2 linked regions of the Bombyx mori genome follow. The protein of the gene in region 1 interacts with the protein of each later gene in a biochemical or structural test. Links are inferred from orthologs where the notes say so. Each region holds a gene or a part of one and is shown in the gene's direction. Other genes may lie near its edges. The genes, in order: transcription elongation regulator 1 and U2 small nuclear ribonucleoprotein auxiliary factor 2.

What was found.
Region 2: the proteins of transcription elongation regulator 1 (region 1) and U2 small nuclear ribonucleoprotein auxiliary factor 2 form a complex in vitro, tested with the Homo sapiens proteins (2 studies listed by BioGRID). The link is inferred for Bombyx mori from reciprocal best matches to the Homo sapiens genes TCERG1 and U2AF2.

What each region holds. Positions count from the first base shown.
Region 1 is NC_085130.1:19,197,346-19,213,565, reverse strand, and holds the start of transcription elongation regulator 1, read left to right. Parts: upstream 1-1,374; 5' UTR 1,375-1,881; coding exon 1,882-2,057; intron 2,058-5,888; coding exon 5,889-6,216; intron 6,217-6,933; coding exon 6,934-7,084; intron 7,085-8,293; coding exon 8,294-8,431; intron 8,432-8,884; coding exon 8,885-8,980; intron 8,981-9,982; coding exon 9,983-10,179; intron 10,180-10,586; coding exon 10,587-10,722; intron 10,723-12,315; coding exon 12,316-12,390; intron 12,391-16,220. UniProt on the Homo sapiens protein: Transcription factor that binds RNA polymerase II and inhibits the elongation of transcripts from target promoters. Regulates transcription elongation in a TATA box-dependent manner.
Region 2 is NC_085123.1:10,722,525-10,739,242, forward strand, and holds U2 small nuclear ribonucleoprotein auxiliary factor 2, read left to right. Parts: upstream 1-6,446; 5' UTR 6,447-6,571; coding exon 6,572-6,587; intron 6,588-6,661; coding exon 6,662-7,234; intron 7,235-7,510; coding exon 7,511-7,593; intron 7,594-8,667; coding exon 8,668-8,790; intron 8,791-8,900; coding exon 8,901-8,988; intron 8,989-9,075; coding exon 9,076-9,229; intron 9,230-10,070; coding exon 10,071-10,155; intron 10,156-10,895; coding exon 10,896-11,027; 3' UTR 11,028-11,742; exon of another isoform or gene 11,743-11,744; intron 11,745-12,696; 3' UTR 12,697-12,788; intron 12,789-13,770; exon of another isoform or gene 13,771-13,776; 3' UTR 13,777-13,921; downstream 13,922-16,718. UniProt on the Homo sapiens protein: Plays a role in pre-mRNA splicing and 3'-end processing. By recruiting PRPF19 and the PRP19C/Prp19 complex/NTC/Nineteen complex to the RNA polymerase II C-terminal domain (CTD), and thereby pre-mRNA, may couple transcription to splicing.

The sequences.
Region 1 (16,220 bases):
CGGCGTAGTTTACAACTCTGTCGATTCGGTCTTCTTTTTTGTCTATAATTAATTATTTTTTGAAGATATTCGATTCGTAGTAATCGAATGTTACTTTTTTCATTTACCAGCTTCCGATTATTTTCTGTTCTTTTTTTCCATCTGAAGCCTAGCTCTTTCATAATTCGTCGTAAGCTTCATTCCGAGCCATTAAAATTTATATCTTCTTTAAATTCTTCGAAGCCTTTCTACGGTACGGAGTTTCGCTGCTTGTTATGTAGTTATTATGATTACATCTTTTTATTACAGATTGAACGAAACTATCCATTCCGGTAACTTTCTTCTTCCCTGATCTTTTCTTACCCGGAGTCCGAAACACTGCGAGCAAGCCAGAGCCTTTAGCTTCGTTAATAATGCACCTAACAGTACTCACTGATGTTTTTGTTGCTTCCGAAGTCTGTTTTAATTTTTCCATATCATTCTTCCCCTGTTTTATAATGAAGCAATATACGTCGTACACAAATTTTCTACCCTTTCTTTTAAGTACTACACCAGTTTGTCACGGCATAGTGTATGTTTTATAAAAAATCAACAAACACTCAACAAATAGCAACAATGTCCACAAGCAATTATAACAAATAACTTAACGATTAATAACGATAGACTTTCCACTGTACGCAAGCGTACTTTTGGGAGCAAGCGGAAAGAGGGCGCGGTGCGGGACGCAGGGTTCGACTGATCTACCAATAACGCGCTCGATACGATTTCCCCTGCCGTCGCGCCTCACCCTCACCACCAAAGTGACCTAAAATTCGGTTCTGCGCAGTCAAGGTCATTTGCTCAAGAAGTTTGCCGATTACTATAATAAATAATCTAAGAAATACCACAGAGTCGCGGGATGCAAGTGACTAGTTTGCGTTGCCTGTGAAGACATACGGTACTGAGAGGCAGTCGCTCATGTCGGTCCATATCAGAAGGTTCAAAGTCATAAAAACAAAAGGATTGGGGGAGGTGGAGAAATTAACAGATTCGCAGGAGATCCATGGTAATAGATGTATCCCGGAGATTGCGGTTAAAGTAGCATTGTCGGTGGCCGCTTGTACCAGATACTTCTCTAGTGGCGACCACACATCCTAGTGCGCATGGCGCCATGGCGTACCGATTTATGAGACTTCCCACGGACAAGGTGGACGACGACTAGTCATCGCTTAGCAAAGGCGACATGTTGTTTGTCAATTTCTTAATTTTTGAAAAGGAGCTTCTTATCGCACGTTTTGTTTGATAATAAAATAAGTTACATCATTATTCTAATGGACAAATATATTTGTTGGACAGTAAAATTTGAGGGGACTGTGTTCTGTAGGTGAGGGGCTATTTAAAAATACTCTGGTTCATGGTTAATATAATTATATTGCAAACTCTTTGTACACTATTACTCCATTATAATATTTTATTTTTATAAAACTCTCACATGTTGCTTTGACCGTGTCTAGATGAGAAGTCATTGTCTTCACTGAAGAGAAGACAATTATTTGTTTTAAACATTTAAAATAATTCCAATATTCGAAATCTGTAACCTTACATGTGTCAAGTGTTGCCAGCCATTATTTTCATATTCAAACTACAACAATATTTATTTCATAAAAGGCTCAACCTAAAGTATCCAATCTCCAGTAAATGAAAACAATTTATTTCAGAATCGACTATTGACCAACGACCGATTTTAGATTATAGAGACTAGCTCTAGTGAAGCCATCGGCGGCCATCTTGACGGCGCCATGTTTTGACTTTTAATTTTCATGCGCTCGCGGAACTTAATTCTAGTGCGTATTACTTCAAGTGATAAACTGTTTTAGGCATGTGGACATAGTATTCAGTGAAAAACGATAAATAGCTCACATAATGGAAGATGGTTATATGGAACAGCAGGACGTGTCGTTGAACGAAGTTAGCCGAAGCGACGCACCCGAAGCAGAGGCTGGGAAGGACTTCGCCGAATACACTGGTTATGAAGAAGGTTACGAAGAGGAAGACGGCGGTAACAACTTTCGCGGTAATCGGGGCCGTGGGAGCTTCAGGTGAGAAATTTACGTTAAATGTCCTCTAACTATGACTTACAAACAACACACAGCGAATATGTACCTGTCGTTATAAAATTATCGATTTTTGCCTCTATTATAAAATGGTACCCGAAAACTTGAACAACTCTTTATCAATGCGGTAAACTATGTCCTTGTTTATCTATCAAATTTCCCAAATGAATCCCAAGAGAGCATGAGAAACTTTACAAATACGTTTATCATTTATTTTACATGTGTTTTCTGACTTTGTCGGCTCGTGTATTGTCATTTAATAAAATTCATGTATAATCGTTCTGGAAACAACTCGACGCGTAAATAATACAGTATCCCGAATAAATAGAAGTTTTATAATGTTTACTGCAATCTCCTATGTCGACCAATCCTGAACTCATGCACATTTCGGATACTGAATTTTTTTTTGTAAATTTAAGCTTAAGTTATTCAGTAAGTACTGTAATTATGGAACTATATTTATTTTTTACAAAACACCAAGTGCTTTCGCTATTTTGTCATTCAAAGCTCTCAATTGAAGTTAAATGAATATTGATAGTTAAAATCTCGTGTTGATGAGTAAACCAGTTGAATCGTACCTTTGCTTTGCGGATTTTATAGCTTTTAGCAAAATTTGCCAAAAAATACAGTGCAGTGGAAAGTTGAAAAGAATATCATTAGTAGTTTCAACAGAGTATCCACGTTATTCCTTATCATATTAATTAAATATTGCAATAGCGCAAGCTCATCAAGCATTAAGCTCTTATATAGGATGCATTTTATAGCTGTATGTGCATTCTACTTAGTTCTACTGAGAAGTAGTTATGAGTCAATTCAATTGAATCTGAACTCACAACAAGGTGGGTGGAAGCAATCACATAGTGATGTGAAAGAGCTCTGGTCACTAAAAGAGTGAGTCTACCTATCAACACAATAAAAATATAAATAGTATTAAAAATATGAAAGCTCATCTTTGCCTTTACCACAATCCTGTGTTCAAACCAAACTGAATTTTGATATAATATCGACGCTTGAAAGGCAAAAGTCACTAAGCGACAATAACTGCTTTGTACATAAATGATAGGCAATAACCATATTCGATGCGCAAAAAAAATATTTTTCTAGGTCTATTAAAATCATTTCAGTCCTACAGCTACTAGCTAGATTCTACTACAGCTAGATTCGTAAAAATAAATTTTGTTTGCAGGTATTTCAACTTTAAATTAGTCTACTGTAAAATTCACGCATTGTTGCTTAGTCACGTTTGCCTTTCAAGCGTCGATATGTTATAGCATTGTTTGTGTAAACTGTCACTGCATAATTAAATTGCAATGCTAATTGTTGTCACTAACCAAATAAAATGCTAACTCATTAATGGAAATTTAAATTAAGTACAATCTAGAAATATTTATTAATAATATTAATAGTAATAAAGATAGTTTAATGCAGCAATTACTGTGAATGAATGCTGATTCAAGAGATGACTACTTATTTATCAGAGCAGAAGCAACCCTCTTCCAGCTTGCTGTATAACATTCTTATTAACTCAGACTTCAATAAAAATTAAATTTGATATGTATGAAGAAGGTGGGTATTTTTTACATCTTTAATAATGGTGATGTTATAAAACTTTAATGATAATTATGTGCAGCATAAAAGTTTTGCTAGAGGGTGAAAAGGATGATACGATGCACCCTATGTAGCCAGGAGCTTGTAGTCTATCTGGTATGAAGTGATTAATGGACACATTGCTGTCTTCATGAGACATGAGAATAACAGTCCCACTCTTTAAATCATGACTGTTTTTGAGCAGAAGTGAATAGAGTATTACCCATACAAAACTATAAGTAAACTAGTCAGAGAAGTAAAAAAAACTAATAGTGATCTTAATCTATATATATAAAAATGAATTGCTGTTTGTTAGTCTCGCTAAAACTCGAGAATGGCTGGACCGATTTGGCTAATTTAGGTCTTGAATTATTTGTGGAAGTCCAGAGAAGGTTTAAAAGGATAAATATGTAAGAATAGATAAATATGAACATGCTCCAAATGACAATTTTGTTTTTTCTTTGGTGTGTCCCCTGTCAGACGGATTCCTTTTGTTTGTTTTAAGTTTATTTTATACAAAAGTTTAGGTCTTATTTATCGATTGAGGCACTACGAAATCTGCCGGGTCAGCTAGTATTCCAATATTTCTGTTAATGTTCATATTTGTGATTTAGAAATAAAGTTCCCTTTGTTCAACTCATGCTGCCACTGTTTTTTGATTATTTCGAATAAGATTATCATTATTATCCTTAAAGGAATATGTTTATGTTATTCACATGAATTTAAAAAAGATACACGTGCAGTGTGTTTTGGATTACTCACCTGGAGAATCTAGTATAACCCCTCGGGGTTACTAGTATAGGTAGAAAAAAGTCTTTTGGTAAATGTTTGAAATGAAGATTTATTGATAGTATACAATTACTTTTTTAATTGGCATGTAATGCATTCAGATCTCAAGTACATAGATAAGATAAGATCATTTGATTGGAAAATTTCATGTGATTAAATATCATACTTAATTCTATCACAGAACTGGACGCAGCGACATGTAACCGACCCACCTTCAAACATAAGTTTTAAGAATCTTGCAATTGAGCAGTGTGTTCCCACCAAGACGTAATATGTAATTGCGAATGGACTAGCTCAATTGACTGGATTGAATAATGACAAACAATTTGCTGTGCTTATGTATTGCAATATGTATGCTAGGGGGGCCTGCATATACTGGATCAGGTCTTTATACATGTACTTACTTCTTGGTAATTTGGGGTGATGATCAGCTACATAGAGTCTACCTGATATGATATCTCATAGGTTGTCTGCTTGTCCAGGATGCCGATAATAATTTGGAACAATTTGTAGAAAATAGAATCTTAGTACCAATACATGGGTGAGACCTAACATAATAAAATATAAAAAATACTGGGTCAATGCTGCAATGTCCTTTGTGATACAAGGATTTAGCTTCACTTCAGACTATAACTCCACATTATATGAATTTAAAAAATCACCATTTTAAAAGTCACACTACTGACTTATAAAGGAACAATTAAGTAAAACAGAGCTTCTTTGGCCTAAGTACATAACAAATGGAGGTCAAATTAGGATATTTTCTTTTTCAATATCGTTACTACTGTATTTGAGTATTGTTACATCAACCATACAAATACATTGAAGCACATTTAATCCAGCACATTAAAATCAACCTATCAGGATTGTTGCAGAAAACAAACAATTTTTTATACCTGTATATCATGAGTAAAAAGATTTAATCTTAATTTCATTCTGTTCAGTACATATGGATGTTGTCTCGCATACAACTATTTTTATTTTTTTTTTAATTTTTTATTGCTTTTATGTTGGACGAGCTCACAGCCTATCTGGTATTAAGTGGTTACCGGAGCCCATAGACATCTACAACGTAAATGCGCCACCCACCTTGAGATATAAGTTCCAAGGTCTCAGTATAGTTACAACGGCTACCCCGCCCTGCAAACCGAAACGCATTACTGCTTCACGGCAGAAATAGGCAGGGTGCTGGTACCTACCCGCGCGGACTCACAAGAGGTCCTACCACCAGTAATTACGCAAATAAAAATTTTGCGGGTTTGATTTTTATTGCACGATGTTATTCCTGCACCGCGGAAGTCAATCGTGAACATTTGTGGAGTACATATTATACAATTGTAGATGAAAAAGACAAAGTTTATGATGGCCTTGTTGGCCGAATAGGGTTTCCAAATGTTGCGGTTGTCGTTTCAGTTTATTGTTAACATGCCATTGTTATAGAAGCCGTGGTCGCGGCCCCCCGCCTGGTTGGATGAACGGTCCGCCGCCGCCTATGCGATTTCGTGGACGCGGCTACGGACCCACAGGACCTCCAATGCGCGGACGAGGCTTCTTCAGAGGACGGGGCGGACCCCGTTTCGGACCCAATGGACCGAATTTCGACAACAATTGGGGACCGATGGGTCCCCCGCCTCCCAACATGATGTGTCCGCCGCCCTTCGGCCCCCCTCCCGGCATGATGCCTCCCGGGGGGCCGATGGGTCCCCCTCCTAATATGATGAATCAGCCCCCATATGGAGGACCACCTGGTATGCCGCCCCCTGGTATGGTAAGTCGATATCAAAGATATTATTTTCTGCTTTATAAGTATTCTTTGATTGTGTTGAATATGTGATACACAACATAAACCATTGAAAGAGACCTGATTGGAAAACAATATCTAATCAATACTTTTAAACAAAATCACTAAAAATATGTACTACATTTAGAACTACTATTTTAATGATGGATATAATGAAGAGTGCACCCCGCACATTGGAAGCATCTGCTATGTGACTCTTTTGTCTACAACTGAACATCAGAGTTCAATGTTTATGAAGGACTAACTGTATCGGTCTGATTCACTGGGCATTTAAAATTAACATTATTATTTCTCACCTGCAAAAAGAAGCTCATCATTAACGCCCCCGTAATTGGTGTAGGGAGTCCAACACTCATATAAATATTAGCCTATCTATTAAGTGCATGTATTTAATACATGGATACCAAGTTTCAAGTTAATCGGATGCATGGTTCAGTAGTTATAATTGAATATCCGTAAAAACCACTGTAGATTTATATGTTAGTATAGATATAGATATGCCCATATGGATTGCAATTGTAGGTGATGATAGTTGAACTAGTAGTTAGTTTAATTGAAGTGAACTGTGTGGACGGCCACTTCTACTTTGTTAGAATCAGTGTTCTAATTTGAAAAGTAGGATGATCATGTAATTGGAGAATTGTAATTCCATCCCTTACAAATGTATTTTGTGTTTATTTGCAGAACCCTGAAGTATGGGTGGAAACGAAGACAGATGAAGGCAAATCATACTATTACCATGCTCGGTCCCGGGAAACTACATGGACCAGGCCAGTGGAGGGACCGAACTGCAAGGTCATCACACACGGTGAGATGGAGATACTGGTAGCTTCAGGTCGGTAGCCTGTTACAACCTTCTCTTGCCTGTTATCCCCCTAGGTGCCTCAATAAAATATTGGAGAATGCAGCTTGTATCAATGATCCAGTTTTGATTGGCTTATTGTTTTATGAGCAGCCAGTTGTCCGACAATGACATTCCCTAAGAATTGTAGACTTGATTGGCTCATCAGGATGAACTGGGGGAGAAGGTTCAGTTAGGCAGAGGTTTGGCTCTGCCCCTGGCATTGCTGAAGTCCATGCGCAACGGTAACCACTCACCATCAGGTGGGCCGTACGCTCGTCTGCCTACAAGAGTAACAAAAAATAAATAAATAAGAAAATAAGGTGCAGATACAGCAGATTTAATTTTATTTCATTAAAAATTAGTCAAGCTCACAGTCCACTCTGTGTGAATAAAGCATCATGGAGTCAACGAATCACTTGGAGTATGCGATGGCTGAGGAGCTCAATTGTTGTGATATTGATTATTTCTGTATTGATCCTGCCTTGTAAAATTCAGTATAGAAAACATTATCTGTCTAAATGCTGAGGTGGCACCAACCCATAGAAGATAAATTATTATTGGACTGTTTAAATAAAATTATTGACTGACCAAAAATATTTTAAACTGGTAATAAAACAAACGGTATTTTGGATAGTAAATTTTTTGTGGTGACCCTTCACCATCAGAATGTCTTTATGTATTGTATATTATTATACTTGATTGTCTACAAAGGCAATACAATACTACTTTCACAAAACGTCTAAAAAAAAATTTTTAAGAAAAATTTAACAGTCTTAAGTGATTCTATTTTCCGCTGTGTTATGGGCAGTAAGCACACCCATGTTTCCCCACTGTCCCAGTTCTACGGATTGCAGCCACCATACTATACTATTCAACTTTGTTTTTTTTTTTATCACAAATGGGTGGTCGAGCTCACAGCCCACCTGGTGTTAAGTGGTTACCGGAGGCCATAAACATCTACAATGTAAATGCTGCCACCCACCTTGAGATATGAGTTCTAATGCCTCAGTATAGTTACAACGGCTGCCCTACCCTTGAAACCGAAACGCATTACTGCTTCACTGCAAAAGCAGGCGGGGTGGTGGTACCTACTCGTGCCGACTCACAAGAGGTCCTATCTTTGTTGTGCCTTTGGTGTTGCTGATTTCCATAAGCGATCGGGTGTGCGTGGTGCGCGTCAGTAACGATATGTTGTTGCAGGACAAATCCCCCAAATATCGGCACAAGGGGTCGGCATGAACGGTCCCATGGGCCAGGCGCCGCTCGTGATGCCCAACGGCATGATGCTGCCCGGCGCGCAGCACCAGTACATGGGGCCGCCGCCCTGGGGGAAGGACGGTGAGAGACTTCCATCTCCAATATACCACACTTATACTATACATAGTTCATATTTATTTACTAAAGATGCCACTCATGAAAACTGAAATAAGTATGTAATACAAACATTGCGTCTGTAATCCAATCTATATAATAAACTAGCTGACCCGGCAGACTTTGTAGTGCCTCAACCGAGAAATAAAAGACCTAAATCTTTGTATAAAATAAACTTAAAACAAACAAAAGGAATTCGTCCGACAGGGGACACATCAAAGGAAAAACGAAATTGTTATTTTTATTTAATTCCGAGCATTCTCATATTTATCTACCTTTTAAACCTTCTCTGGACTTCCACAAATAATTCAAGATCAAAATTAGCCGAATCTGTCCAGCCGAGTCTCGAGTTTTAGTGAAATTAATGAACAGCAATTCATTTTTATGTATATAGATAAAAAATACTAAATTAAATTTCAGATAAAGACAAAGCCTCTGAGTCTGTAGTGAGCAGTATGACTGATAACGATGAAATGCCACCGGGAGAAGCAGTCCCTGGACAGCAGCAAACCAATGGTCAGCGTAGTACAATTCACACTTGTTACTTTTGTATTTATTGATTGACTTTATAACTGACAGAGTAAAAAGTAAAAACCACATCTTTAAAATGCAGTGAAAAATAGTTTGTTGTTTCATAAAATGTTTTTTTAATTTTTTATTGCTTAGATAGGTGGACGAGCTCACAGCCCACCTGGTGTAAAGTGGTTACTGGAGCCCATGGACATCTACAACGTAAATGCGCCACCCACCTTGAGATATAAGTTCTAAGATCTCAACTATAGTTACAACGGCTGCCCCGCCCTTCAAACCGGAATGCATTACTGCTTCAGGGCAGAAATAGGCAGGGCGGTGGTACCCACCCGTGCGGACTCACAAGAGGTCCTACCACCAGTAACACAGTTTGTTCACAAACACTACCGGGGTAACATCTACAGTACACAAAATGTTAGTTGTTCAATTAAATATATTTTATCACAATCACAAATATAAATAAAATTATCCATTCTTGTTACTTTTTTCATTGAATGTATGTTAGGTGCGGGGTATTGAATGTCAATTTGTATTTTAATTTTGGGGAAAAGTAGCTTACAGTGCACGGACAATGTGAACTGTCTATTATGATGAATACGGTGGCTCATGTTGTGCCAGACTTTAAATGAGTATCACTACATAGTATAAAACAAAGTCGCTTTCTCTGTCCCTATTCTAAGCGGCTTGGCTCTTCCCCTGGTATTGCTGAAGTTCATGGGCGACGGTAACCACTCACCATCAGGTGGGCCGTATGCTCGTCTGCCTACAAGGGCAATAAAAAAAAAAAACCTATGTATGCTTTAAATCTTTAAAACTACGCAACGGATTTTGATGCGTTTTTTTTTAATAGATAGAGTGATTGAAGAGGAAGGTTTATATGTATAATAACATCCATTAAATAGTGGAGATATCAATAATAAATTACAGTTTCCGAAGCGAAGCGAGGGCGGGTCGCTAGTTTGTAATAAAACTGAACTGTATCCACAGGTTACAACGCATACCAGCAGGGAGAGTCATACGGGCCCCCGGGCTGGCCGGCCTGGGGCTGGCCTCCCGCCGTGAACAACCCCAGCAACCCCGAAGCGGCCCCGGGCGCGTGGCCTAGCAGCGGCGCCGCGCCGCAGTGCGAGCCCGCAGAGCAGCCCCGGGCGCCGCCCACCGTGCCCATGCCCAAGAAGGAAACCGTTCGTATACACATTACTTACGTCTTTTTTTTTTATTGCTTTGATGGATGGACGAGCTCACAGCTCACCTGGCGTTAAGTGGTTACCGAAGCTTAAAGACATCGGTAACATAAATGCCACGTCACCCACCTTGAGATATAAGCTCTAAGGTCTCAGTAGAGTTACGAAGGCTGCCCCGCCCTTCAAACCGAAACGCATTACTGCTTCACGGCAGACAGAAATAGGCGGGGTGGTGGTACCGATGTGTACCGGTGGTACGGATGCGGACTCACAAGAGGTTTTACCACCAGTGATTATGCAAATTATAATTTTGCGGGTTTGATTTTTATTACACGATGTTATTCCTTCACTGGAAGTCGCCCTCGAACCGTTAGCGTTCGTGAGCTAACGATGCTTGTGGCTTGCAGGTGATCTCGCCCAAGCTGCTGGAGCTGGCGGCGGAGTGGACGAGCCACAAGGCGCCGGACGGCCGCCCCTACTACTACAACGCCAGCAAGCAGGAGAGCGTCTGGGAGAAGCCCGCAGTGCTCAAGGAACTCGACGGTACGCGACGTGCTACTCGTTTAGGGAACAGTAGTTCACGCTTTTATTTTTGTTGCTTTAATGGATAGACGAGCTCACAGCTCACCTGGTGTTAAGTGGTTACTGGAGCCCATAGACATTTATAACGTAAATGCGCCACCCACCTTGATAAGTTCTAAGGGTCTCCAGTTACAACGGCTGCCCCACCCTTCAAACTGAAACGCATTACTGCTTCACGGCAGAAATAGAACCCGTGCGGACTAACAAGAGAACGTCACTTGTTTGTGTGCGGACTTTGTTGACAGATATAAATCTTTGTTAGATGAAAAGTAATTATCACTTATGTAACGTCGACCTAGAAGATATAGATTGTTCATCACGTGCCGTGAGAGCTCAATGCAAGCGATACCACAGGAATCCCATTTGTCAAAGAACCGCATATTCAGTGTGTGCACTCAATTCGTATGATCAATATATACATATACGGTTACTTCCTGGTGTGAACCCACACGGGCAGGTACCGCTACTCTGTTATTTCTGTCGTGAAGCAATAATGCTTTTCGTTTGAAGAGTGGGGCAACCGTTGTACTACTGTGGCTTAGAATTCATGTCTCAAGTTGGGCGAAGGCATTTATGTTGTCGTCTATGGGGTTCGATAACCACTCAATACTATGTGAGCTATATTTTTTTTTATTGCCTTTGTAGGCAGACGAGCATACGGCCCACCTGATGGTGAATGGTTACCGTCGCCCATGAACTTCAGCAATGCCAGGGGCAGAGCCAAGCCGCTGCCTACCGCCTATGCTCGATCAAAGCAATAAAAATAGTTGCATTTTTTACTGTTTTGTTGCCAGCCTTATATTTGACTTTACGGTACCTTGTGATAACATAATTCAAGGTTCTATGGAGCAATAGTTGTTTGTTATGTTCAAGTGCTCTCTGTTCCGGAACCATTTACTTGAACTCATTTTTCCGGCAAATACATTATTAGTAGTATTAACATTAATAGTAGAACACTAGCTACAGTTTTCGGCTTGATCTACCCTCTATGGGATACCCGGTGTCGTATTTCTTGTCATCATGTTTATTGCTTTGAATGAAAACGAAAAGTTTTTTAATCTCAAAGCGTGAAGTTAGTCCCCATTTGAGCACTTAATGCGGTATGCAACATTTCGAAATCTGAGCAGCCTTACAGAGGGATAGTACTTGGGCTGTACAAAATAATTTATAAAATAAACAGGTGACATTGCAAGGGGCACCATGCCACGGGTTAACTTATTGAGGCACCGACTTCTCTTTCTTTATGATGACATCCCCATACCAAGTGACTAAATTTTATCTCCACTATTAAAAAAACAAAAATACACTGAACATTTAAGAAATTTTTAAAATTGGTTTCTTAATTTAGTCTATAAAAATATTTTTTAATGAGCGCTCATTACTGAAGTAGCTATGTACCCAACACGCGTTCACATACTGCAATGCCACTGGCGGCCGCCCGCTTTCTGTACATCCGTCGTCACAGTTTCTTGGATATTTAATTTGAAGGCTTTTGGTTTGGTTGTGCAATACGTTGCTTTTGTGAATAACATAAATTCGTTAATTTGTCTGCAGATATAAAATCCTTGATAGCCGCCGAGAAGGGCGAGAAATATCCTAATATAGAAATAGATCCCAGCAAAATAGTGGGTGAGTAGGCAAAGTGTCCATACAACCGCCACACTCGCACTTTAGTTCACTGCAGCTAACAGACGCACAAGCTACACCCCTCCACATATCTGTTCCTCCCCCCTCACTCACTCTCCCACTGACTGCAGCTAACAGACACACAAGCTACACCCCTCTCCACATATCTGTTCCTCCCCCCTCACTCACTCTCCCACTGACTGCAGCTAACAGACACACAAGCTACACCCCTCTCCACATATCTGTTCCTCCCCCCTCACTCACTCTCCCACTGACTGCAGCTAACAGACACACAAGCTACACCCCTCTCCACATATCTGTTCCTCCCCCCTCACTCACTCTCCCACTGACTGCAGCTAACAGACACACAAGCTACACCCCTCTCCACATATCTGTTCCTCCCTCCTCACTCACTCTCCCACTGACTGCAGCTAACAGACACACAAGCTACACCCCTCCACATATCTGTTCCTCCCCCCTCACTCACTCTCCCACTGACTGCAGCTAACAGACACACAAGCTACACCCCTCTCCACATATCTGTTCCTCCCCCCTCACTCACTCTCCCACTGACTGCAGCTAACAGACACACAAGCTACACCCCTCTCCACATATCTGTTCCTCCCTCCTCACTCACTCTCCCACTGACTGCAGCTAACAGACACACAAGCTACACCCCTCCACATATCTGTTCCTCCCCCCTCACTCACTCTCCCACTGACTGCAGCTAACAGACACACAAGCTACACCCCTCTCCACATATCTGTTCCTCCCCCCTCACTCACTCTCCCACTGACTGCAGCTAACAGACACACAAGCTACACCCCTCTCCACATATCTGTTCCTCCCCCCTCACTCACTCTCCCACTGACTGCAGCTAACAGACACACAAGCTACACCCCTCTCCACATATCTGTTCCTCCCTCCTCACTCACTCTCCCACTGACTGCAGCTAACAGACACACAAGCTACACCCCTCCACATATCTGTTCCTCCCCCCTCACTCACTCTCCCACTGACTGCAGCTAACAGACACACAAGCTACACCCCTCCACATATCTGTTCCTCCCCCCTCACTCACTCTCCCACTGACTGCAGCTAACAGACACACAAGCTACACCCCTCTCCACATATCTGTTCCTCCCCCCTCACTCACTCTCCCACTGACTGCAGCTAACAGACACACAAGCTACACCCCTCTCCACATATCTGTTCCTCCCTCCTCACTCACTCTCCCACTGACTGCAGCTAACAGACACACAAGCTACACCCCTCCACATATCTGTTCCTCCCCCCTCACTCACTCTCCCACTGACTGCAGCTAACAGACACACAAGCTACACCCCTCTCCACATATCTGTTCCTCCCCCCTCACTCACTCTCCCACTGACTGCAGCTAACAGACACACAAGCTACACCCCTCTCCACATATCTGTTCCTCCCCCCTCACTCACTCTCCCACTGACTGCAGCTAACAGACACACAAGCTACACCCCTCTCCACATATCTGTTCCTCCCTCCTCACTCACTCTCCCACTGACTGCAGCTAACAGACACACAAGCTACACCCCTCCACATATCTGTTCCTCCCCCCTCACTCACTCTCCCACTGACTGCAGCTAACAGACACACAAGCTACACCCCTCTCCACATATCTGTTCCTCCCCCCTCACTCACTCTCCCACTGACTGCAGCTAACAGACACACAAGCTACACCCCTCTCCACATATCTGTTCCTCCCCCCTCACTCACTCTCCCACTGACTGCAGCTAACAGACACACAAGCTACACCCCTCTCCACATATCTGTTCCTCCCCCCTCACTCACTCTCCCACTGACTGCAGCTAACAGACACACAAGCTACACCCCTCTCCACATATCTGTTCCTCCCTCCTCACTCACTCTCCCACTGACTGCAGCTAACAGACACACAAGCTACACCCCTCCACATATCTGTTCCTCCCCCCTCACTCACTCTCCCACTGACTGCAGCTAACAGACACACAAGCTACACCCCTCTCCACATATCTGTTCCTCCCCCCTCACTCACTCTCCCACTGACTGCAGCTAACAGACACACAAGCTACACCCCTCTCCACATATCTGTTCCTCCCCCCTCACTCACTCTCCCACTGACTGCAGCTAACAGACACACAAGCTACACCCCTCTCCACATATCTGTTCCTCCCCCCTCACTCACTCTCCCACTGACTGCAGCTAACAGACACACAAGCTACACCCCTCTCCACATATCTGTTCCTCCCCCCTCACTCACTCTCCCACTGACTGCAGCTAACACACACACAAGCTACACCCCTCTCCACATATCTGTTCCTCCCTCCTCACTCACTCTCCCACTGACTGCAGCTAACAGACACACAAGCTACACCCCTCCACATATCTGTTCCTCCCCCCTCACTCACTCTCCCACTGACTGCAGCTAACAGACACACAAGCTACACCCCTCTCCACATATCTGTTCCTCCCTCCTCACTCACTCTCCCACTGACTGCAGCTAACAGACACACAAGCTACACCCCTCTCCACATATCTGTTCCTCCCCCCTCACTCACTCTCCCACTGACTGCAGCTAACAGACACACAAGCTACACCCCTCTCCACATATCTGTTCCTCCCCCCTCACTCACTCTCCCACTGACTGCAGCTAACAGACACACAAGCTACACCCCTCTCCACATATCTGTTCCTCCCTCCTCACTCACTCTCCCACTGACTGCAGCTAACAGACACACAAGCTACACCCCTCTCCACATATCTGTTCCTCCCTCCTCACTCACTCTCCCACTGACTGCAGCTAACAGACACACAAGCTACACCCCTCTCCACATATCTGTTCCTCCCTCCTCACTCACTCTCCCACTGACTGCAGCTAACAGACACACAAGCTACACCCCTCTCCACATATCTGTTCCTCCCCCCTCACTCACTCTCCCACTGACTGCAGCTAACACACACACAAGCTACACCCCTCTCCACATATCTGTTCCTCCCTCCTCACTCACTCTCCCACTGACTGCAGCTAACAGACACACAAGCTACACCCCTCCACATATCTGTTCCTCCCTCCTCACTCACTCTCCCACTGACTGCAGCTAACAGACACACAAGCTACACCCCTCCACATATCTGTTCCTCCCCCCTCACTCACTCTCCCACTGACTGCAGCTAACAGACACACAAGCTACACCCCTCTCCACATATCTGTTCCTCCCCCCTCACTCACTCTCCCACTGACTGCAGCTAACAGACACACAAGCTACACCCCTCTCCACATATCTGTTCCTCCCCCCTCACTCACTCTCCCACTGACTGCAGCTAACAGACACACAAGCTACACCCCTCTCCACATATCTGTTCCTCCCTCCTCACTCACTCTCCCACTGACTGCAGCTAACAGACACACAAGCTACACCCCTCCACATATCTGTTCCTCCCCCCTCACTCACTCTCCCACTGACTGCAGCTAACAGACACACAAGCTACACCCCTCTCCACATATCTGTTCCTCCCCCCTCACTCACTCTCCCACTGACTGCAGCTAACAGACACACAAGCTACACCCCTCTCCACATATCTGTTCCTCCCCCCTCACTCACTCTCCCACTGACTGCAGCTAACAGACACACAAGCTACACCCCTCTCCACATATCTGTTCCTCCCCCCTCACTCACTCTCCCACTGACTGCAGCTAACAGACACACAAGCTACACCCCTCTCCACATATCTGTTCCTCCCTCCTCACTCACTCTCCCACTGACTGCAGCTAACAGACACACAAGCTACACCCCTCCACATATCTGTTCCTCCCCCCT
Region 2 (16,718 bases), on another chromosome or scaffold:
GAACTGAGGTAATGATGTTTGTAATAATGTAATAAATGTAATAAAACTCAGTGCTAGATTTTCGACAACGCAGCAATTTCCAAAAAAAAACCGTCGAAAAAAAGTCACCATGACGACGAAGCAATGTTTAGAATTGAATTTACATAAATAAAAGGTTGCAAGCACGTGTTTTGTATTTACATAGGGTTACACAGAATTACTTAAGGTAAATTCAAAACTGATGCATGTGTATAATTTTGTCCTATAATTAAATTATATATGGTCACCACATTAGACAAGGACACCGCGACCAAAAAGTATTCTCTTTCGAGACCGATTTCTCGGCATTAGACAGCACTCCAGTTGTAGGTACTTATTAACTCCATGGTCTTAGCACATTCAAACAAATAAAATTTCAAAGTCAATTATGATTGGTTGAGTAATGAGTGGCAGGCAGCTTCGTTTTTGTTTTTAGAATTTGTTTACGGCCACTGATTACAGAATGTTTTAGCCCAGATGAGTTAGTTTTCCAAGATTGTTGAGATTAACAATAGAATTACCAGATTTACAAATAGATAACAATAGATTAACAATAGATAACTATATAATTTTTAAAAACACGCAGAAAAACATTCCTGTATTTTTTTTCGTTTCATCTAGTATATTATATATATGTATACCATAAGAATATACCATCCTGCCTATTTCTACCACAAAACATTCAGTTAATGTTTGTGCTTCTGCAATTTACAAAATTCCATTGGTGTACTTGTTAGAGTTTTGGCTTATTGCAACCCAAAGTTAAAATAATTTATTGTGGGAACCGGTTAATGAATTGTTTCATTTGCATACCTATGACAGTTTTATTGTCATTGAGCCTTAGATTCTGGTCAAACCATCGCTCAAATACCACAAGGGCTTGTTGAGTTTGATCCAACAGCCTATTCAGAAATTTTACCACAATGTAAACTCCCAGATTGTCAGCATAGCTTACAGTAGAAATACACTTAGTTATGTTCCCAAAGCAGGATATTTTATAAACTGTTCAAGAGGCCATAAGATATGGTAGCATTGACTTGGTTTGGGCAGTTTTCTGTTTATGAAGTCTCCGCATGCTTTAATGTGAAACATCTTTATATAATACCCGCACATAAAACCGATTGCTAGTGTGACATAGATGTGATAGTATAATAAAATATTATTTAAACCTACAGTCTATATGTAGTAGTGTTTAAGGTGTAGCAACACGTCGCCATGGACAAGCGACTGTTTCATAATATTAATATTTGATTTTCATTGCGCCACAAGAATTTCCTGTCGTAAGCTATCCTTTTATGCATCTATACCTGTACAAAATAATATCAATGTTTCACATCTGCCAGCCTTGCCACTATACCTCTTTTCTCATGTCACAGTATACTTTTAGAAATACTTAGTATTACGGTTTTACATAACAATAAAACCGATATTATGTGCCGAGAAGGAAAACATACAGCATTGTATTATGAAGAAGCAGTGTGTACTTAGCTTAGATTCCTTGTCTATGTCCAACCATAGACAGTCAATTTAGTTCCATCTTTAGCCGCTAGGTGCTGCCAGCAAGTATAAAGGGAGCGCAGCCATCTTTGATCTTCATAGTCTTCACCAGGAAGAACTTCCTGCAATGCTGTATGTTTTCCTTCTCGGCACATAATATCGGTTTTATTGTTATGTAAAACCGTAATATTGATGTGCCTTTGGAAAACATACAGCATTGTATTATGAAGACGTGTTTGTTATCTGCTGGTGAAATTATTAAGCACAACGCTATGATGAAATAGGTAAAGCCATAATAAAATTATGAAGCGCAATGATAATGTTCATAATTTATATAATTATTAAATCGAAAAAACAGTTGTTAACTTCCATGTTAATTCAATAATTAAAAAATATTTATAAGTTTAAACATTTTATCTTTTATATACAAGAAAATGTATAAATTGTATAAATGATGTATATACATCATGTAGAAGTAAATGTGTTGAAAAAAAGAATCGTGAGGATTTTTACGAAGCTCTATTATTCGGCAATATTTATTGTAAACGTTTGGATGATTTGCAATTGCCTCTAGAAAGTATTTCGTCCATTGGTTCATTATCAATCCATCTCAGAGGCTACTGCTGATCTACAACTTCTTAGAGATGCGTTGATGCCATTACCTCGTAAGGTTGAACGAAGACCAGTTTCCAATTACAGTACGGGATGCCGCTTTTGTGACAACACACATAGTTAGAAAAAAGTCCTTACGAATCTTACCGGGCATGTCTTTAGTTTCATGTTTAGAAAGCACTTATGCAGATTATTGACGAAAATGGATTTCAATTTTAGACCCAAAGACTGGTATCAGAAAGATGTTTTTCTCTGTTATCAAAGAAACTGTCTTTAGAAATGTTGAGCAAAGTAAGGTCATTAACTCTGCGTCCCGTAGCCAGCAACATGGTTGTTGGTGTCCTTCAAGCTACATTGAGGCGTGATGTGGTGGCTGGGTTTGAAGAAAACCAGTTTAGAACTATTCTCGGATCTCATGTGAATGGGACTACACTTAGTAAAATTGTAATAAGTAGTTGAATTTTGTTTAGCCATTCCGATGGCTTTTTTAAAATAGCAATTTTTATTAGAGAGCTTGAGAATGTTTGGTGTCCTACATGTATTTCGCCCACAGAAAGTCGACAGCGCTGCTTTATGATGCAGAAGGATTGTTTTATAGGCAAAATTTTCTTTTTGGAAAAGAAGAAAGAATTTGGCAACATCTGCAGACTTAGGATCAATTTTAAAACTGTAGCACCATATGCACCATCTTCTAGTTGCTGGTAAGTATGCTGACAAAGTGGATTGACACCAGCTAATTTTCAATAAATCTTCTCCTGTTTAGACCAGTATTATTTGTACAACCTCCCCCCCCCCCCCCTTTCTAAGCTTTCAGGGTTAATGTTTAACCTGTGGAGGAGGCAGGTTTTGGATTTCGTGCGAGTTATCTAGCGTTCGGGATCTGAGGGCTTGGAAACCCAAATGCTTTCGTTCAGTCTGGGAACACTACCAGGTAGGTTCCCTAGACACTTGAAGTGAGTCAGTACTTTGGGGAGAAGGTTGAGAGGAGGAATTCTCCATGCTAGTTGCATCCTCTACGGTCTGCTGAAGGTATCCAATCTTGGTCGGCGAATGGGTTTATATCTGGATGACCCCACTTTCGAAAAACTTTTGTGGTCACTTGTGGTAAAAAGTGCCATTTCGCAGGTTGATTTCCTCGTGATAGCCTGTCGGCTATGATGTTGTATCTCCCCGAGAGATTATAAGCTGACAGTTATCTTGAACTTATTGCTTAGGTTTAAAAATCGAAAGGTCAACGTTAGTGAAATACTTTCAAATTCATTTTGATTGTCACTACCATTGCAAATAGCTCTTTTGTGGGTGAGCCGTTTCTGTTGTTGAGCTGACCATAGACAGGACGTTAATATTTTGTCTAACTGTAACCCCTACCCATGTCCGAAGCTTCCGTTGCCAGGAAATGGTTGGTTTTGGGTCTCGGCAATGTTTGACATGTGGCTCCGCGTCAGCACTGCATTTGTAACCCCTACACATGTCCGAAGCTTCCGTTGCCAGGAAATGGTTGGTTTTGTGTATCGGCAATGTCTAACATGTGGCTCCGCGTCAGCACTGCATTTAATTGTTAACACATGCAGGATGGCCTGTTTTTTACCCCTTTTCTTGAAACTTCGCAAGAAAATTTGCAAGTTAACATAGAGTGATGTAATACCGTCAGAGTTTGAGCTAGGATGTTGTTGAGTGGCCACTTCATTTCTCGCAATTTTCCATCGAATCCCCAGACATGTCATCTCTTGAACCAGTGTACTAATTGATTTTTTGTAAGGCTGACTTGGCAGCCCAAATAATCCAAGAGCTTTACAGCCTATGTGGCCTGAAGACTCAACTTGGACTTCTTTTGATGGACCTGGTGGGATTTGCGTAGGTGGGATAACACTCAACATCCCTTTGCACGCAATGTTTCCGCGACCGAGCATGCTATGCAAGCAAAAAAGGTGTATTTGTCTTCATGGACCAAGAAAAAGTCGCGTAGGTAGGTTAACATTTGACTTCCCTATGTACGTAAGGTCTTCGCGACCGAGCATGCTATGGGAGCAAAAACGTTTATTTGTCTTGGTGAAACAAGATCATGTCGTGTAAGTAAGCTAGGTGAAACAAGATCATGTCGTGTAAGTAAGCTAGCACTTCGATTTTGCACGCAATGCCTCCGCGACCGAGCATGCTGTGGAAGCAAAAAGGTGTATTTGTCTTCAAGGACCAAGAGAAAGTCGCGTAGGTACGTTAACATTTGACTTCCCTATGTACGCAAGGTCTCTGCGACCGAGCATGCTATGGGAACAAAAACGTTTATTCGTCTTGGTGAAACAAGATTAAGTCGTGTAGGTAAGCTAGCACTCGACTTCGCACGCAATATCTCCGCGACCGAGCGACCGAGCGACCGAGCACCCTATATAATGGAAATTGACATGCCAGCCCAGATAATCCAAAACCTTCACAGCTTCTGCAGCCTGAAGTTTCAACTTGGATTTGTTTTGGTCGACCAAAAGGAAGTCGTCTAGGTAGGCTAGCACTCGAGTTCCTTTTGCACGCAAGGTCTCTGCGACCCAGCATGTTATGGAAGCAAAAAAGGTTAATCCAAAAGCTTCACAGCTTCTGCAGCCTGAAGTTTCAACTTGGATTTGTCTTGGTCGACCAAAAAGGAAGTCGTCTAGTAGACACTAGCACTCGAGTTCCCTTTGCACGCAAGGTCTCTGCGACCCGCATGTTATAAAAGCAAAAAGGTGTGGCTCTGAAGCCAGACCGAAGGGTAGGCATGTCATTTCATACTAACTCATAAGAAGGTACCGATTCCTTCCTGGAGGTACTGAACTGGTACCTTGGTACTGATCCTCAAGAAGTATCGACGAAATTTTGCGACTGATACTAGAAAAATATTCCTGAGAAATGTTCAATTCTATCATCCAGTCCCCTGGGTGGAGAAAGTTTGGTACCTAGGTGTCCGAAAACAGGTGTTTTATCTTTACGACCTTGTTCAACTCTCGAAGATCGAAAATTGGACGCATTGATCCGTCGCTTTTCTTCCGCAGAAAAAGGTAGTTTTTTTTTTTTTTTTTTTTTTTTTTTTGTTGTTTTTTTTTTTTTTTTTACGGTATTTGGTAACCATACATGGTTTACAAATTATTACAATTTTGGTGGCACTCAGTGCCTCAGTGCCGTCGGTGTCTTCAATTGCCCCCCTCTGGATTGTGCCAGATGTTACGGACTATGATTGTTTATAATGTTTGGCTTACCTTTTGTACGAGATCGTGACAAATAGGATTGTAGCCCTCCGAGGGACTGAATAGATTTCAATTTACTATTATCAAACAAAAATTCCTCAATGAGTGGCGCGTTGGCAACAGGATACTTTGTTAGAGACCACGGAAATTAAACTTTGACGTCTTATTTCTATACATACGGCCCTTTTTTCCGTATACAATTTAAAACGCTTTTTACGGGTAACTTGTACGACGGAGACGATTTGTCAAAGTTTTCAGTAATTATGTTACAAAGATTATTAGTTTAAATCTGTTGTGTTTTTGTCAAAATTTCCGTATTGACGAGATCAATTTGTTTACAACAATTTTCGTTACATTCAATTGTTACACACAGTTGATGCATTATTAGATTTACAACGTCACTGACCTGGTGGGATAACGAGCCGATTCGAAGATCGACCGTTACCTTTGAATCCCGTCGTTTCTTACGCAGAGACTCCTTTTGTTCTTTTTCGCTTGACGAGCTGTTCGAACGCGAGGCGTCTCCATCGCGTCTCGCCTGGACATCTTCCCTCTCGGAAATTATGGAGCTTGACTCAACATCACCTCCAACAGATGACGCGTGATTCATGGCGTCCGATGATAGGATTGGTAAATAATACTCGTAATGATTGCAAAATAACACTCATAGAAACACAAAATAAATATTTTTTGCAATTAATAAGAAGTCGAATAAATATTTGTGGACTTGCGACTTCACAGTACGAAAGTACACAACGCTATGAAGATCAAAGATGGCTGCGCTCCCTTTATACTTGCTGGCAGCACCTAGCGGCTAAAGATGGAACTAAATTGACTGTCTATGGTTGGACATAGACAAGGAATCTAAGCTAAGTACACACTGCTTCTTCATAATACAATGCTGTATGTTTTCCAAAGGCACATCAATGATTAATTAGCTATCATTATTACACATTTATACTTGAGGAAACACCAGTTCTGCGTTCGCGTCCGAAATTTGTCCTAGGGCAAGCATAGGATTTTAGTGATGATTACGTATCAGGAAATTCACTATAGCATCATTAGCCAAAAGTCGAGTAACCAACGTCCGTATAAAAAAATAACAGACGCCATTTCACGGAAACTGACTTAGATTTTATGTTGATGCCAACGCTAATTATACTAATAACGCTGAAGCGCCTTTATTACTATCTCAAGAAATAGTTACTGTATTACATATTTCCGTAAATAAGATGGGGGAAGATAAAGGTAAGTAGTTCACATATCTATCTTGTAAAGTTTTGAAGTGAGGTTATAAAATAAAATGCTCACAAATATTACAGACCGCCGACGAAGGTCTCGATCCCGAGAAAGAAAACGTTCTAGATCTCGATCTAGAGAACGAAGAGAAAAAAGAAAAAGCAGATCAAGATCGCCCAATAAACGTTCACGTAGACGTAAGCCTTCGCTTTACTGGGATGTACCGCCGCCGGGATTCGAGCATATCACGCCATTACAATACAAGGCGATGCAAGCGGCGGGTCAGATTCCTGCCAATATTGTCGCCGACACACCACAAGCTGCCGTGCCGGTGGTGGGTTCGACTATAACACGTCAAGCGCGAAGGTTATATGTCGGCAACATACCCTTTGGCGTCACCGAAGAAGAAACAATGGAGTTTTTCAATCAACAAATGCATCTATCGGGCCTGGCCCAGGCCGCCGGCAACCCTGTTTTGGCTTGCCAGATTAATTTAGATAAAAATTTTGCATTCCTTGAATTCAGATCAATTGATGAAACGACACAGGCAATGGCTTTTGACGGTATTAATTTTAAAGGGCAAAGCTTAAAGATTCGACGTCCACATGACTACCAGCCTATGCCAGGCACTGAAAACCCAGCAATAAATGTGCCTGGTAAGTAATTATGATATTGTGATATTGTTATTACAAACAACTTTTCTTATAAAAATACATTTAAACTACATTAGAAGATACTATAGATTTATCTATCAAGTAATGAGTCTTGAACTCGATTGAAAGTGCTATTTTTTATTAAGAAAATGCAATATTTAAAATAAACTGAATTTTGTTGTTATAATTCTACAGCTCTTTTTAAACTCTTGAAACAGCATTAATTACAACTAAAATACTCATTACTAGTGTCTTCATTCAAATATTATTTTGTTACAGCTGGTGTTATTAGCACTGTTGTACCTGATTCCCCACACAAGATCTTTATAGGGGGATTGCCTAATTATCTAAATGAGGACCAAGTAAGTTCCTTGTTTTATCTATTAAAATTTATAGTTGAAATTAAGCATTCAAGAAACCATAATTTAATCACATCATGATCAAAATCAAGTTTGGAGTTTTTTAAAGCTACACATGGTTTTTGGATTAAAGTAGAGGTACTTATTTTCTGTATTTTTGATGTGATCAAATTAAGCTATTATTTATAAGTACTACTTACCAAAAAGTTTTTATTTTTAAACCAAATGAAAACTCAATTCACATAAATTATGGTTGATTTATGTTTCCCACTAAAAGAAACCTTTTGATAATAAAAAAATGGTTATATTATACAACATTCTTCTCTCATTGTGATTTGTAGAGTTGTGTGTTACAGGTTTTGACCAGACAAAATGGAAATAATAATTATGTTGGTTATGATAAACATAGAATTCTCTTAGATCGACAAATTCAAGTATTTTGGACTATAATAGTTATTTCAAAATCCTACTTTAGGTAATGTTAGGACATTAAAAGAACCATGAGTTTGTTCGTTCCCAGTAGGTAGTTATAGCGTACTAGATGCCGCAACAATTTCAGGCCGAGATTCAACAGTTGACAGGACTTAGGCCCCGGTGACGCCAGCAGTGAGCCGCGTTATGTTTTGGTCCGTTTCAGGTATTTTCAGGTACCCGTAGCGTGGACGAGCGTGTGCGTACCACGCTCGGATGTTCTCAAACAACTCACTGATATAGTTTGCTTTCTGCCCTCCCTAGCTTAGATTTGGCACATTCGCGGCCCGCGTGTCACTGTTGTCTCTCATTCTCATCTATACGTCTTGTACTTGAACGAGACATCGGCACTTCAAGGCAAGTCTCTTCCATTCACATCTGATTCTAACATGCGGCTAGACACAGGTCAGATAGCATAATTCACTTATGTAATTTGCTGCATTTTGATGAACAGATTTAATGGGAACACAACAATTCAAACATACAATACAAAAAACATTAGCATTAGAAATGTCTATGCTGATCATTATGAATATGTAACGTAAATTAATACAATGCTGGGAATTAAAAGATTATTATTTGCTCACTAATTTTGTCATGAAACAGGTAAAGGAATTACTCATGTCATTTGGTCAACTCCGGGCCTTCAATTTGGTGAAAGACTCTTCAACTGGGTTGAGCAAAGGCTATGCTTTTGCTGAATATGTCGACATTTCTATGACAGATCAGGTAAATAATCATTATGTCACCCAATTTATTAATTTATTGGCTTTTGCATAGTTAAGGCCAATTTAATTTTTAAAAAAACTTTAAATCATAAATTAATTTTATTTTCACAGGCTATTGCAGGTTTAAATGGAATGCAACTTGGAGATAAAAAGTTGATTGTGCAACGTGCCAGTATAGGCGCAAAGAATTCAACTTTAGGTAAATTTTAATACAGAATATGACCTATGTTTTAGTTTTAGAATAGAAATTATAAAAGATTTTAAATAGAAATGGGATACTTTTCAGCACTGACCGGTGCAGCTCCAGTGCAAATCCAAGTGGCAGGTTTGACCTTGGCTGGAGCAGGTCCACCTACTGAAGTATTGTGCCTTCTTAACATGGTAACACCTGATGAATTGCGTGATGAAGAGGAGTATGAAGATATCCTTGAAGATATAAAGTAAGTAACATTTTGTACATGTCACACACACAAGCACTAATACATGAAATGCACACTTAAACTTCATCTAAAAATGTTCAAAATCAGAACAAGAATATAAAATTAAATCTTCATATTGGTACCTCAGTTCCAATAAGTAAAGTAACAATTCAGATTTCATATTAGTTTTAGCAGTGTATAAAGCATTTCGTTTTTCATAACACATTATTCTTCATAATGTAATAAAAATAAATAAATAAAATAGAAATAAGAATAACTTCCTGATAAACTATTCACATTTATTTAAGCTTTTTTTTAATTGTTACTGCATGGAACATAAGTACAAGTCATATAAATGAAACAACAAAAATGATTTCTTTCATAGACTTCTTTCTTTTTGAAAATTATAGTTTACAATTTTAATGGAACTCTTTTTTATACTCAATCAATTTTTTTTTAATAAAAAAAACCTTTACCTGTGTACCTTAACAAAAATTCGCGAAGAAATAACATTGAGTAATAAAATCAAACCTGCAAAAATCCCAATTTGTGTGATTACCTGCCTAGGTAGGTCCCACAATACTGTCCATTTCTGCCGTGAAGTAGTAATGCGTTTCGACTTAAAGAATAGGGCAGCCATTGTACTGTAAAAACTGAGACTTAAAACTCATGTCTCAATGGGTGTGGCGGCGTTAACGTTGTTGTTGTCTATGGGCTCCGGTATCCACCTAACGTCAGGTGGGCCGTGGGCTCGTCCACCCATCAAATCAATAACAAAAAAAGAATTAGTAATGTAATTATTACTGTACATTCCTAGCTATAAAAAATGAATATGAGACTCACTAAAAATATGGTATTTCAGGGAGGAATGCAACAAATATGGTGTTGTGCGTAGTATAGAAATTCCAAGACCAATTGAAGGAGTCGAAGTACCTGGATGCGGCAAGGTAAATATTTATATTTAAAATTAATGGTTTGGAAATCATAATTGAGTATGTCTTACTGCTTCTATGTACTTTTAGGTCAAAATAAATTAGTTGTACAAATTGATATAACAAGCTCATCAAAATATTCTCATATTTTTAAACTGAGATAAATAATAAAAATAAAATTATACGAAATAATCGAGTCTATAAATGTAGCTATAAGAAATAATATGAGATGATTTCTACAAAACTCAAATATCATATTATCATAAACATGCCACACTTTAAATTTCTGTCGTGAAGTTTTCATTTAGGAATTAGTAGGAAAGTCGTTAAGTACATACACTAAACAATTGAATGTTATAGATACCTCATATCTCAAGGTAGGTGGTGACATTCACATTGTAATAAACCAACATAAGAGAGGTCCATATATACGACTATGGAATTTATTACTGGTGGTAGGACCTGTTGTGAGTCCGCACGGGTAGGTACCACCACCCCGCCTATTTCTGCCGTGAAGCAGTAATGCGTTTCGGTTTGAAGGGTGGGGCAGCCGTCGTAACTATACTGAGACCTCACAACTTATATCTCAAGGTGGGTGGCGCAATTATTTTGTAGATGTCTATGGGCTCCAGTAACCACTTAACACCAGGTGGGCTGTGAGCTCGTCCAACCATCAAAGCAATAAATAAATAAAAAGACTGGAATAAACGAATAAAATCCACATTTTTTTTGTTAAAAAACGTTTTTTTTATCAGGTATTTGTCGAGTTCAACAGTATTGCAGATTGCCAGAAAGCGCAGCAGACGCTCACAGGACGCAAGTTCAGTAACAGAGTCGTCGTCACATCCTACTTCGATCCTGACAAATATCATCGCAGAGAGTTTTAAAGATATATTTTTTTTACCGTCACTTCAACTTCGTCCTGTTGCACTAGCGTGTAAGAAAATGTTCAACATTGTTTTTGAAAGAAGTTTAATTTTCATTAGTTTACATTAAAAACATATAAGAACAAATTAAATTTAAAAATAAATGCTTGTAACGATTCATTGTAAAAGTGAGTTCTTAACTACCAAATGAACAGATTTAATTGTGATCTACTCAATTACGACTGATAATTAATTTTACAAGTTCTATAAATTGAAAATGTCACGTTTTGTTGAAAATAAAAGTTTTTTTTTTTTCACAAGACCTATACATGACACATGCTAGTAGCACATTCAACAAACGACAGAGATTAAATCTATCAAAATGCATGTGAATTGGAGCATCATGCTTTTCGTCACCAATTCACTACAACTGACATGTTAAGTATTAACTAAAAAGTATATTGCGCGTTTGTAACTGCTATGAATAAATAAATTTATCTCGAATCATGTGTTTTTATTAAAAAGTTTCAAATTCGAATCGTTTTAACGTAGGTACATTATAAAAAAAAAAACTGTAGTTTTATACTTCTTGCTGCATAGCAGGTTGGTAAGTATTCAGTGAACCCGTTTCCGAAGATAGAACGAGTTTCCTCATAACTACATATAAGACGCCACCGATGATCAACATTCCAATTCCAGCCATCAAGCTAATTGCCCACGCGGGAACCGCATTGCCACCTGTAATAAAATAAAATGAATTTTGAGCACGCAAGTTGATTGATTATTTTAATCAACCTACACAACACGCGATCTCTATAAAAATAAAATAAATTAAAATATAAGAAATTTGTGAATTTATTTTCATGTTAGCGCCCTATAGTTTGATACGAAGTCAAGACGAAAATGTTTTGTGACTACTACTGACCAATCGAAATTAATATGTGAATGGCAAATGTTATCATCTCATACATTTTGACCTAGAAATGACTAGCAGATGAGAAAGGATGTTCTATAGTGGATCGCAAGATGAACTTACTTGATATAAGTTGACCCATGTTTTGAATAAAACGCATAGTATGTTTTGTTGGTTTCTTTGTATAGCAAAAAGAAGCCATCTAGTTAACTTTTCGCTAGTCGTGTTCCTTATTTGCTCAAGACACTGACAAAGTGAAAAGCGCCTGGTGCTTTGCACTTTTTGAGTTCATCAAACGCAGCTCACACTTCGGTCTTCGGAGCGCAAACTCCCCGGGTATTCAAAACAGCATTTGTATTTGTATTTTTCGCAATAGCTACGCTATCTTTCAGCGACCTCTATAACTGATTAGGTGTATACCATCGGCATCATCGATTGCCCAGTTTTTTGGCTTGATAATTACTGAAGATAAGACTTTCTATTCGTCTCGATAGGCACGAGCTAACCGGATCACCTCCTCAGATCAGTTACTGAGTGGTGACTTGATATTGCCTTAAGATATGAGGTTGAAATTTATTGTAGAACGACTGTTCCGTCAAAACCGGACTGATATAATTGCCTCTCGGAAATAATAGCTAGGTACCTCATAACTAGGTAGGTACCTTAGTAGCACTTACCGTGCAGGTTCGCAGAAACGTCCTACTATCAGAAGATACGGTAACTTACGGAATTTAACGAATTTATCTGATTTCCGGCAAGGATATTGAAGATAAACTTACGGTAGTAAGTGCGGGTCATAACACGTCTTCCTCTAAGAATTTTTCTTCTGGCTTCTACCTCTTGTGTAAGTGTACTCAAAATAACTAAAAATAATAAAAAATAATTTATTATTGCACATATTGGCAAGGCAAACATACCCTTTTGTTAAATTCTTAACTTTTGTTTTTTTCCGCTAAAACTATTAATAATAAAATTCGCCAATACACTCGCGACCAAAATGCCCCGGTCATCATTCTCATCGAACCCGTCGCTTGCGACGAAGGGCTCGGCGAGTAAATTAACCCACTGAGTTTCTCGCCGGATCTTCTTAGTGGGTCGCGTTTCCGATCTAGTGGTAGATTCTGCGAAGCACAGCTCTTGCTAGGGTTTGTATTAGCAACATCGTCCGGTTCGAGCCCCGTGAGCTCACCTACTAGTTCAGGCTACGCTGATATGGTCTCTCTAAACCATCAGCTTAGGTAGGAGAAAAAAATAGAAAACCAAAATGGTCACCTACAAGTTTCCGTTTTTCTTGAATCATCTAGGTACCTACTTAATTTCAAGTGTGTGATGTTCACGATTAGCCGTTATTTGTAAAGTACCCCGTACCTTTAATGTCATTCATTCAGACTGACGATTAAATTAAAATCAATGCGCTTTATCAGACTGATAGTCATAACCCCCAACAAACTAAAGGTTGGTACATTTCTTCTTCCCAAACATATCTATCTATCTATGTGTGTCTATACGTAAATTATCAAACTACTTAAGTACATTACCTTCATAAGTCTTGATTTTAGTACCTACCTTTTTCCTTATCTATTAAGTAGGTTACTGGCAGTATAAACAACACAGTACCTACTTGATACGTGTATATTATAGTGATGCAAAAGTAACATTTGCTATTACTCTTTTAAGTCACCTGGCGTCAAAGCTAAGATATTTAATTGGGTGTTGAGTACACATATAACATTAGGGAAAGAGCTCCTTTCAAACTCTTAAAAGTTAAAAAATACAATGCAGTAATGTTCCCTCCGCAACACATTTCACTTTAGGTCCTTAACTACAACAAATTTTACTCTAGATACGTACCTAAAATCACAGCGAAGTAAAACAAAACAGATTTCTTCTGTGCCATTTTATTGATTTTTTTTCTTTCACAAATACTCAATAGAGAAACACAATCACTAACAACACCTATGATAAACTAATACAGAAAAACATGTACATTTTTAGCGTTGAGCTATTATCTCTTTAGATAAGATAACTTGGTTACTCACATTTGTGAGATAAAACGAAGCTTTCTGAAATCCTGTGTGACTCAATTATTCTGTATATTCATTGATAGAATACTACAGTGATAAAATAAATATAATAAAACCTTTAAAATGATCGTATTTGATACATGAATCCAAAAAACTTTTACTTGTCCATACTGTTAGATTTAGACCTAGGTATACTTACTAAAATAGCAAAGAAAATCAAAAGTGAACAATACGTAAAGAATTCGTCATAGCCGCCCGATTAACTTATTCGTATCAAACGATACCACCATACCGGTGTTCAAATCCCACAGGCAAATGTTAATTTATCTAAGGAAATACATAGCACGTGTTCAAGAACGACTACAACGATGAAGGAATAATATTGTGCAATAAAAAACAACCCAACAAAAAATTCAGTTTGCGTAGCAACTGGTAGTAAGGTGTCTCGTGTCCCGTTCGGGTAGGTTCCACCGCCCTACTTATTTTTACCGAAGCAGTAATGCGTTCGGGTTTGAAAGGTAGGTCTAGTCTATAGTCGGTATGCCGTCATATAACTTATAATTGAGACTTCTTCTTTATATTACAGGATGGATTCATTTGATTGATATCTATGGGTGTCGAGAACTAATTATCACTAGTTGAGCCGTGAACTCATTTTCCCATCTATAAAAATAAACTGATAAAGAAACAAATAACAAGTGCCTCTTTACTGAGCCCCTTACGTTAGTACAAATTGAACAAGGCTAATAAGAGATCGCTCGACAGATCACAATTATTATGACTAAATAAACTTAAATCTGACTTCATTAAATCGATGGTCTCTATATCGAGTTCTCCGAATACTTTTGTTTAAATGGGTAGACAGGACGCGCCTTTTTGGTTGCGTATTTTTTTTACCCATGTATGCAGATGAACACGCAGTCCACCAGATAGATATTCTGATGGTGAAACAGTCAAGCCGCTGCTTACCACTAAAACGAATTAGAATATATAGATGGATCATCCGCTACATGTTGGGGCTGTGGTATGGTTGAACCTATTAAATAATCCTTGTGTCGCTTTTCTACCTGAGCATCCGATTCATATACAGAGATACAATTGTGATAGCTCACGTAAATTGCTTAACCGCACCACGGAACGCCAGATCAACAGTCGCCGGTGATATGATCAGCAACTCTCACAATAAACTGCCCAGCTCTGCCTCTAGGCAATCTAGTTAATGGCGCCATAACTCATACCCTCGGGTTGCCCAGGTGTGTATCGGTAGTGTATGCCGGGTCGAGGAGCGTAGCTTTCATCCGATCGCTCTTTGTCAAAATGTCAATGTGGCCAACGGTTACCTTTGTGTTCATAGACCCTATTGTCGTTCTACAAACCAACATCAAAGAGGCCCGAAATGCTTACGGTGACTGGAGCCAAAATACATTAAAGTATATCTAGTAATACAGTTGATAATTTGTGAGATGGCGGCGACATCAAGCCTTTCAGTACCGGTTACATATTTATAATAGCCGGCAAACTTCTTGAGTATTTGTTGACGTAGTGGGGGTAAGTTTGCGCATGGTACACTCACGTGCAAAAACATTATTTACTCTGCGTCATAATGCAATTAAATTATTAAAATCAACATATGTATTTATTTATATATTTATTAGAACATCAACAAAAAATATAGGTTAATAATTGTAATAATTTAATCTTGGGGTAAAATAGATATTCCTTCTATTAAGTCAAAACTAGAGCTGTTGCCAGGTCTTCGTTCAGTTGAAGCGAAGCTGGTATTTGTAATTTTTTTTTCGTTATCATAATCTTGACTATTATCATCATCACTGTTTTCATCACCCGAGTCGCCATCATCGTGATAAGTCGACATAGGGCTCATCGGTGTAGTTTACGACTCGGTCGGTTCGATCTTATTTTTTGTCTATAATTAATTATTTTTTGAAGATATTCGATTCGTAGTAATCGAATGTTACTTTTTTCAATTACCAGCTTCCGATTATTTTCTGTTTTTTTTTTTCCATCTGAAGCCTAGCTCTTTCATAATTCGTCGTAAGCTTCATTCCGAGCCATTAAAATGTATATCTTCTTTAAAATTTTCGAAGCCTTTCTACGGTACGGAGTTTCGCTGCTTGTTATGTAGTTATTATGATTACATCTTTTTATTACAGATTGAACGAAACTATCCATTCCGGTAACTTTCTTCTTCCCTGATCTTTTCTTACCCGGAGTCCCAAGCACGACGAGCAAGCCAGAGCCTTTAGCTTCGTTAATAATGCACCTAACAGTACTCACTGATGTTTTTGTTGCTTCCGAAGTCTGTTTTACTTTTTCCATAATATTATTCTTCCCCTGTTTTATAATGAAGCAATATACGTCGTACACAATTTTTCTACCCTTTCTTTTGAATACTACACCAGTTTGTCGCGGCATAGTGTATTTTTTATAAAAAAATCAACAAACACTCAACAAATAGCAATGGCAACAAAGTCAACAAGCAATTATAACAAATTAGGTAGTAGGTGTCAAAAGTGAAACAAGTGCTTTAAGTTTGAAAATTAAAATTAATTCATTTTATTTACATTATAAAGATTTTGTGATCCTTTTGTGTGTCGTTAAGTATGATTTAAGCCAATAAAAATACCACCTGCCAGCACCCCTTGAAACAGAAACATAACTATGTCGCAATTATCTGCGATTGAGGTTGCTCAAAGAAACTTGGAAGAGTGCTTCACGAAAAGAATGGCCGATCTTGAGGCACAGCTTCATGCTGGA